Danio rerio: one gene and its partner. The protein of the gene in region 2 binds, or shares a complex with, the protein of the main gene of each other region. Links are inferred from orthologs where the notes say so. Each region holds a gene or a part of one and is shown on either strand. Other genes may lie near its edges.

Region 1 (4,757 bases), on a different chromosome or scaffold from region 2:
AAATTTTTTGAAGCCATTACATCATTCAGAAATTCTACTATTTCTATTTACTATTTATATTACCAAACATAATTTTTTTATGCTTCACTACCACGTTTGTCTGTTTCCAACTGGATGTAAAAAGCACTTCAACCTAATCATGTGTGAGTTATCATCATGAGCTCAAGTTCATTATTTCAAATATAGACTTGCAGCAAGTGCAGCCCTAGAATCGAGTATAGTGTAGCTTTGCACACAGTCAGAAAAATAATGATACCTCTGTCATTAGTCGCTTCAACCCCTCCACCTCATCCTCTCCAGGGTTCAACTCGCCTCCAGGGCTGTAAAAACAAAATAACTGTCACTCACTCAAACTCACAATAGATGAACAAACAAAACAATATAAAGAAAAGCAAACAAGCCATTGAAAAATAGTGAACAACAAGTAGGAATATTTAAAGATAGGTTTCTTTATATAACAGCTTAACCACTTAAACAGCAGCACTCTATTGAATTCATCACATCCACAACACACAATCTATAGCTTACAGTTTGAAGAAGGTTGTCCCCAGCTGAAGTAGCAGAACATGAGGGAGTCTGTGCTCGTGCACGATCAGAACACCCTCCACAGTCCGCCGCATCCCGATTTTCTCAAATTCTTCCCGCATCCGCTGAAAGCGTGCGGCTACCGAGCTGTCCTTCTCATAGAGCGGCTCCTTGGTGCCGAATGTGTAATTTGTAAGAGGGTATCTTTGGAAAAACAAACATGTTATTTCATTTAAATTGAGGTGTGATAAAGCTTTAATAATCCACACACTGCAAAACAAAACATAGCATCATAACAAAATAATGAGGGAAAAAAGATGGCAAGCACTGTATGTGGCCGCTAGTAGTAGGGCTGCACAATATATCGTTTCAGCATTGATATCGCAATGTGAACATTCGCAATAGTCAAATCACGAGTATATGCAATGTTGAGTCTGGGTTATAATTTACAATATTTCAAGTGTTTTTGAGGCCTGTGATTGTGTGAGGGTTTTAACAGCATGTGTACAGCTTTTAACTAAAAAATAATAATGATGAATTTGCTTGTTTTATTTTACAATTAATCATTTACTGTACACCTAAATGCAGTTTGACTCCTCAAAAACAATAAAACACTGTTTATGTAATTTGTATTTTTCTTTATTGAATTTTTCTATGCTTGTTTCTTATTTTTTTATGCATGCACTCTTCTACAAAATCATCCCAATCAATCTAAAATTTCTAATTCTTTCCAAATAGGCTTGTAAAATTGTATTTATATTGCAATTTATGTCACAGAACAAAAACATATCCCAATGTTAGATTTTTCAAATACAGTGCAGCCCTAGCCGCTAGTCATGTAAATTTCCATAAAGCTTCAAAACCTTTAAGAATCTTGTTTTCAAATAAGTGGTTGCATATCAAGGGGTCACAAAAAGTCACAATTTATGTAATGGAGGATGCATTTCATCATAATTATTTCAAAAAGTTATTAAAATCCAATGGTTCATGTATCTGTGCGTCTGAATTATGCCAGATTCCCAACTGTATTTATCAAAGCTTGTGATTGGTTTGTTACTGTATATTATTGCAAAATCACTCCCTTAATAAATCACCTAAATTATGAATTCTTTTTGAATAGACCTACTCATTTCATCTAGTAAAATTATCGCAATGTACATCGCAGAGGATTAAAATATCACTTGGTAATTTCTCCCTAATATTGTGCTGCTCTAATTTTGACCAGAAGGCATTACCAATCTGTGGTATTTTGAATGTTTAAAGGTTTTGTGAAGTGCTTTGAAATGGGCATTTATATTCCATGTTTGAGGTAATCTCAACTGAAACATAATGAAATGGTGGCAGTTCCTCCCCTTTAGAAAATAAAAACAGAGAATAGCGTTTTGTTTTTATCACAAACAATCTCTGCCAATGAGAGTGTTTGAGCTTAAGGCATCAAATGAATAGCAAATGAGAACCATCTTGGCAGGGGGTGGGGTTTATGCTCACATACTAGAGAGCATTTGATTGGTCAAGATTTGGTGAGTAAGTAAAACATGAAGTGACCTATGAATAATCATAGATTAGGCGGAAGTGACAAACTGCGGGCTTTAGATGTGTATATATCTTATAACGCAAATTGAGTCACTGTTTGAGCACACTAGCTTATAGATATCCTCAAAACTAACATCTAAAAAGCTTTATTTTTACTTTTTATTTTATTTCACAGGTCCTACCTTTAAAAGAGCAATCATTTATTAATTTTATACAAAGTGTAATTTGGATCTTGTGCTCGCCTATTATGGGCGTTTCATTCCATTGTGTTTTCATACAGCTTTTTGTACAAATTAAAAATAATACTCCCAAATAAGGGTTTCAATATCAAATTTGAATTTACATTAAAGATCATTCATATTAATATTTGATTAACATTGGCATAAGGTTAGCGTTATTAACAAAATCAACAATTATAATAACAATTCTACCGTCACTCAATATAATCAATGATTGGGATTTGTTTACGTAACTTGCTCAAGAATTCGACTGTTTGATTTCTAAGTCATACTTAACGTTACACCAAAATAATAACAAATAACACCATAAACCACAAATAATCAAATAACATTTCAATAACATTGCGCCTGTCGACTAATGTTAGTGATATTTTCGAATAAATGTGCAAAGAGCCCTAGGATAAATCACCGAGAACAATGCTAACTGCAACATATGGAATACAAAACTAATAAGAACTATATCGAACTCTTATATTTCAATATCCCTGCATATGTACACACTGCCATAAATGTGCATGCATTTTGCCACATAAAAAACAAAACTCTGAATATTTCACTGTATTGTTACGCATGCAAACAAGAGCTGGCAGCAAGAAGCTACGGTAGTCTGCCATGGTCAAACGCTAACAATGCTAACGTACTGACATGAAAGGCACAATGCAGCAGCACTAGGATTTACAACCATTAAAGCTTGTTTAAGTAATCGCATATATCGTTTGTAGTGTTGAATTTTAAGTTCAAGTTACTCACAGGTTGATTGTTCTCTCCAGGGTGAGGGGTTTAGTCGCCTGGGTAATGTATTTATTGCCGAACTGATTTACTCCTCGAGGCCAACCGGTAGATGATCGATTAGGAGGTACAACTGACATCGTATGACGGATTATTAAATCACTTCCTAATATTTGCACTAATCGCGTTTTTTTCCACGTTGATTACTTTATTACTGTGATTGAATTGCACAGCCTTGGCGCTCGATGAAAACTGGAATACGGCGCTCTGCTGTGAAAGCACATCCGGGACATTGGGTTACTTCCTGTGTTACGACCGTGTGTTTCGGCTCTTCAGATTTTTCTCATCTGATCTATGAGCAAGAGTTGTTTTCCACATTATAAGTAGTGGGTTTGAACAGTCCAGACACGATTCAAACCCTTACCCTTCAAACAGAGGGTTTGTGGTTGTTTATTACACTTTTCTGCCTGCTACAAGGCGTGTTTTGGTGTCTGTTAACCTGACATCACAAACACAAGAATACCACAGAAATGTCCAAACTAGATTATTAAACCATGTATTAATCAGAAAAAGACAGTAACAATTAAACCACTTATATAGCCTGTAATAGTTATTTAGGGAATTTTACCATTTAATGTTTGCAAGATTGCTTTGTGTATACGTAGCCTAATTTTTGCTTTAATGTAAACAGAACAGTTTTTTTAATACTTTATACGGACCTTTGGTGTTTTTAAAACATCATCAGTCGGTGCTATTCCCACATATCAAAAAATATCTGGCCCACATAATCAGCTTTTGCTTGGCCCACTTGCGGCAGTAAATTATGGTATATGAGTGGACCAATTCTGGCTTTTAGACAAGGACCAAACATGGACAATATCTGGGCCAAGTCTCAGACAAGTTAATAACCCATAACTGAGCCTAAACTTCACCAGATATGTTTTTGTATCCCGTCTGCAATGAAATTGATATACTCAGGGATCATTGCGCTTTAGGCATGCTATGGGCTTGCTTTTTCTCGAAGCGATGATTGGTACTTGGTAGAATTTTTTTCTTTATTTGAAAATAATAAAAATGTATTTTAAATGTGGGTCAAGATAAGCCTAACGTTCATGGCTCATATATCAATTGTTAACATCTGGCCCGAGTAGGCCTATTGTGTGCCGTCTTAAAGACGGTGCCACCTCTGCCAAACCAGGGCCATGTTTGGCCTACATGCTGTATGCCAGTGCCAGACAAATGCCTGCCCTGCCAGATATATGCCATATCTGGGTCAGAATTCTTTTCTACCTGTGTTGGAGGCACAACAAGTTAGCCTACACTGAATCACTTGCATATTTTGCTAAACATGTGATCAATTATTGCCATTCTTTAAGCCAGGAATGTCAAACTCAGTTCCTGGAGGGCCGCAACCTTGCACAGTTTAGCTTCAACCCTGCTTCGATATACTTACCTGAAACCTGAAGGACTCAATTAGTTTAATCAGGTTTGTTTAATTAGGGTTAAGCTAAACTGTGCAGAGCTGTGGTCCATCAGGAACTGAGTTTGACACCTGTGCTTTAAGCAGTATATAATGCAGTGCAAAAACAGCTTAGTGCACATACCTTGATATGTCTGAGAAAATCTTAATAAACACCTCAGCTTTCAGAAAATACTTAACACAGTAAGTGTCTTTCTGCATGCACACTATTATTTGCTTTTTACTCCATAGAGCTCCATATAAAAGCCAGA
Region 2 (4,195 bases):
TAATGCATTCTTAAAACCCAAAGTGCTACATTAAAAATAAAGTGATTTGACAGGATCATGAAAATCTCTGACATCATTTATAATTAAATTTCCACTTACTAAAATCCATTGTGTCCCTGATTTAAATCTGCCATGGCACTGGTAATACAAACGAGGTCTCAAAATGCGCATCATGTACATGAAAGATCATGCAAACCTTATGCATCATCCTCCAAAGCAAACACAAAAAAAAGCTAGATCCACAAGATCCTTACCCTGCCACAGAGCCATACGATTTGGACTCGATTCCATGCAAGCAGTCCTGCAGTGAGCTGATGAGAACTTTGCAGCGGTCGTCAGCAGAAACCTTCGACTGCTTGATCAGAGAGATGGCCGTCACCAGAGTCTCTATAGCACTGCCGTAATCAGCTGCAGAAACGGAAACGGTTAATTCACAACACACCACACCTCATATTTGTGCTGGGTGTAATGATCTCCACACCTGCACTGGCATCAGAAACGGCCCTTGAAATAGCGCTGCTGGAAATCGCTCTGTTCCGGTTCATGATCTCCTCAAACTCAGCTTCGCTCAGGGGAGTGCGAGACGCATCCATGTCCCTGAAGCACACAAAATGCTGATTAATGAACACGCGCAAACTAAAAGCACGAGTCAGAGCGAAGCGTAATGCTTCAGGGATCGAATTCACACAAAGAGCTGCAGTGGTCGTTAGTGCTGAATCACATTGCATCACATGTTAAATCAAAGTGAGGCACAGACATTTCAGCAACTAAAAACTAAAGCGACACCAAAATAAAAGGAAATACCATCCAAATGCAAGATAGACAGGTTTAAAAAAATAGTTACGTTTCACGTATGTTTTGTGGTATTTTTGTTGTTTTCTGCTTTGCGCTCTTCTCTCTCTCTCTCTCTCTCTCTCTCGCAGTGGTCCTATCCTGTTTCAGGTGTGCTACCATTGGTCGAGTGAGCTGTCATTCACCTTCGTCACTCAATCGGCGCTAATAAGGATTGGGTCCGCGCAGTATAAAACCGGTGCGCTTGCGCTGTTCTGGAGGAGCGCTTGGCCTGTCAATCTCTCAAACTGTTGACTTGTTTGTTCCGCTTGGTTTGTTTGCGAGTGCTGTGTTCTAGTTTTCTCTTTGTTGATATGGATTTATCAGTTAAACTTGTGCTGCTCAGGTTAATGTATAGTGAGAATATGAACGATCTTTATGAGAATTGGATTACCTGAGATCTTGTTTTGCTAATGGCTAACAGTCTGTACTTTACAAGAATTCTAGTATTTCGAGCAGCTTAGTATAACTTTGTATTAGTTCGTTTTTGGAGGCGTTGCCTCATGTGTAATTATGTTTGGGAGTTATGAAGTTTAGTTAAGCTACGTGCTGAAGATTACTGTTTTGTTTCTGCATTTTTCTTTGATCAGTCAGTTTAGTGGGTTGGGGTTTAGTTAGATCGTTTTGTTATATTTATTTCTTTGTTTTGGCAACACTCCTATTTTTCTTTATTTAATTCAATTATTTAAAATTACATTTATCTTCCATCTCATATTCATTGTTTGACATTATCCATTAATAAATACTTACTTTTTGTTTCACTTATCAAGCGTTTGTGTCTTCTCCTTATTCACCCAGCATCAATGGACTCACTGATTGTTACGTATCATCCTTTTAATTATTTAACATCATTAACACGTAACAATATATAAATACATTTAGGAGTTCACACTTAGACAATGCTTAACTATGATAGCAGGTTTGGCATGCTGTCCCAGGAGAGAACCTGAATCTCAAATCGAAGAGCACAAGGTTCCCGTTTGGTCAATGAGCATTAGTTTGGATAGGAGATCGGGTATTCTTCGAGAGCCCTCTCGTTTGTTTTATACTATGGTTAATATGGTGGTTCTGACTGATTCAGTATGTATGCGTTAAGTGCTTATGACTTTACAGTTCGCTTATGTACATGTTTTAAGACTGTTGGAGGAAACCGGAGTACCCGAGGAAAACATACGGGAACACAGGGTGAACATGCAAACTCATGGCAGAGAGTAACGACTGGCTCAATTAGAACTTGAACCTTTGGCCCTCCCACTGCGAGGCAGCAGCGCCAGCCATTGAGCCACCCTGTTGCCCTATCATATAATTAACGAGGAAGGAGAAGGGAAGGATAGAAGGGGGTTTGCCAAAAACGAAGACAGGGAACGGAGTTTAGGCAGGATATTCATAGTAGTTTTGGAATGATCTGATAGGCTAGCTAATGATCAGTGATGAGGATCAGCTCTAGTTGATCATATCACGTGCTCTTCTAGAAATTAGTTTGTGAAACTTCACTTATTTTTTAATATTTATAAAATGTTATCAAGTTATGGCTGTCAATATTAAAATGTAATGTGAAATGATTAAATTACATCTAAATGTGCTTCCAATGAAAAACAATTGAATGCATATTTGCAGTGTTATCTGTTGTAGTGAGCATGCCATCACAGCATACTATAGTAAGACTGTTCATTTAACTGTGCACATACACTTCGGGCTTTTTAGAGTATAGGTGTAGTTGTGGGCGATGTGTTTATTACCTGCCACCAGGGAAGTCTCTGTCATAAGGAGGTGGGCGGCCGTACGGGTCTCCAGGTGGGGGTCCTCTGCCGTCAGATGATGGCATGTTGTTTCCAGGTGGTGGGAAGAAGGCCGGGTTGACGTGAGGAGCCGGCGGTGGGCCTCCAGGTGGGGGTCCCTGCATGTGTGGTGGGGGTGCGAGGCCAAGCGGGGGTCCTAAGGGCCCAGGTGGACGGGGAGGGAAGGGTCCTGGAGGGGGTGGTCCCTGCTGAGGTGGAGGGGGGCCTGGGGGAGGCCCGTATCCTGGTGGGGGAGGCCCAGGAGGCATCGGGCCCATTGGGGGTTGCCCGAACTGACCAGGAAACAAGACAGGTGGAGGAGGACGGTCTCCTCTGTTAGGGGGTCCGCCGAGGGGAGGAGGCAGACCTTGTCCAGGTGGAGGGGGGCCTGGAGGTCCCAGGGGCCCAGGTGGGCCAGAGGGAAGACGTGGTGGGCCCTGCATACCTGCAAGAAGATTTGATGCATTACATTTTGAAGCAGAGAGGAGAAGGGATTACAAAAATACACATGAAATCAAAACTAACCGTATGATTTTGGGAGCTCACACTGCTAGTTTTGTGGTGAACATTAAACATCACCCATTCTTGATTTAGGACAATTGATCAACTTTTTCTGATTCACTTGAAAAGTGACCCATTCACCTCAGAGCATCAGTTTTCAGACCAAATATTGTTGCCAAATATTTGTTATTTCCTTATTAATTACTGATCTCATTTCATTCCTTCCCAAAGGTACTTTAACATCTACTTGATTTTTCTTCAATGATTCTTTTTGCCAATTTATCTGCCAATTTTATTTCCCATTATTCCAATATGTGCCGGTCCACAACAAAAATGTACATTTTTACCCTCTACTTTAAGTCTGTATAATGTTGTAGAAACTTGCATTATTAAATCTTCTCTATCAGTTGTTATAGATCCAACAACTGATAGAACAAATTACAGTCCTATTTGTTTCCTCCCATTGCAGACCTATAATAATAGCTGTTAGTTCTGATGTATATACTGACAATTCAAAAGTTCACTCCTGTTCAAGCTTATACCTGGGAAGTGTGGTGGAGGACCGCCAGGTCCAACCGGTCCAGGGAAGCGGTCTCCTTGTCCAGGTGGGCCAGGAAAGCGTCTCTGACCTTTGCCAGGAGGGAATCCTCCACCTCGAGATCCTGAGCCTGGAGGACCAGCCTTCCCCTCTCCTGACATCTGTCCTGACTGTGTGCCTGCGTGGACCAAAACACACTCTTCTAAACTGCAGCACACATACAGCAACGCTATTCTCATTCAGTAAGTTTAAAGTCCCCGTGAAATCAAAATTAACATTAGATGTTAGTTTTAAGGATATCTATAGTCTAGTGTGCTCCAAAACAGTGATAAAATTTACATTTACAAGATAAAAACATAAAAAGTTGCAGATTGTCACTTTATCTTAAATGGATTTTTTTTTTTATCAAATCTGCTGGCCAATCAAATGCATATATTTGACACGTCCCACCCATCTTTTTAAGGGGAAGGAGCTATTCTATGTCCCACCCTGTCTTCACATTTCATTGGAAACTACATCACACATCAAACAAAAATGCACATTTCAA

The links. The genes of interacting proteins can lie anywhere in the genome.
Region 1: the proteins of cpsf6 (region 2) and nudt21 are in contact, whole or in part, in a crystal structure (PDB 3P5T), measured with the Homo sapiens proteins. The link is inferred for Danio rerio from reciprocal best matches to the Homo sapiens genes CPSF6 and NUDT21. Residues at the interface, in NP_008938.2 of Homo sapiens: Trp90, Trp91, Thr92, Thr93, Asp94, Glu95, Lys113, Phe114, Glu116, Asn117, Arg118, Ala119, Asn120, Gly121, Gln122, Ser123; in NP_008937.1 of Homo sapiens: Pro151, Asn152, Glu154, Pro156, Tyr158, Tyr160, Pro162, Ala163, His164, Ile165, Thr166, Lys167.

Annotation. Positions count from the first base shown.
Region 1 is NC_133193.1:24,123,663-24,128,419, forward strand, and holds the start of nudt21 (cleavage and polyadenylation specificity factor subunit 5), read right to left. Parts: upstream 3,293-4,757; 5' UTR 3,167-3,292; coding exon 3,048-3,166; intron 730-3,047; coding exon 529-729; intron 321-528; coding exon 257-320; intron 1-256. UniProt on the Homo sapiens protein: Component of the cleavage factor Im (CFIm) complex that functions as an activator of the pre-mRNA 3'-end cleavage and polyadenylation processing required for the maturation of pre-mRNA into functional mRNAs.
Region 2 is NC_133179.1:2,380,540-2,384,734, forward strand, and holds part of cpsf6 (cleavage and polyadenylation specificity factor subunit 6), read right to left. Parts: intron 3,827-4,195; coding exon 3,653-3,826; intron 3,055-3,652; coding exon 2,571-3,054; intron 598-2,570; coding exon 482-597; intron 409-481; coding exon 255-408; intron 139-254; coding exon of another isoform or gene 100-138; intron 1-99. UniProt on the Homo sapiens protein: Component of the cleavage factor Im (CFIm) complex that functions as an activator of the pre-mRNA 3'-end cleavage and polyadenylation processing required for the maturation of pre-mRNA into functional mRNAs.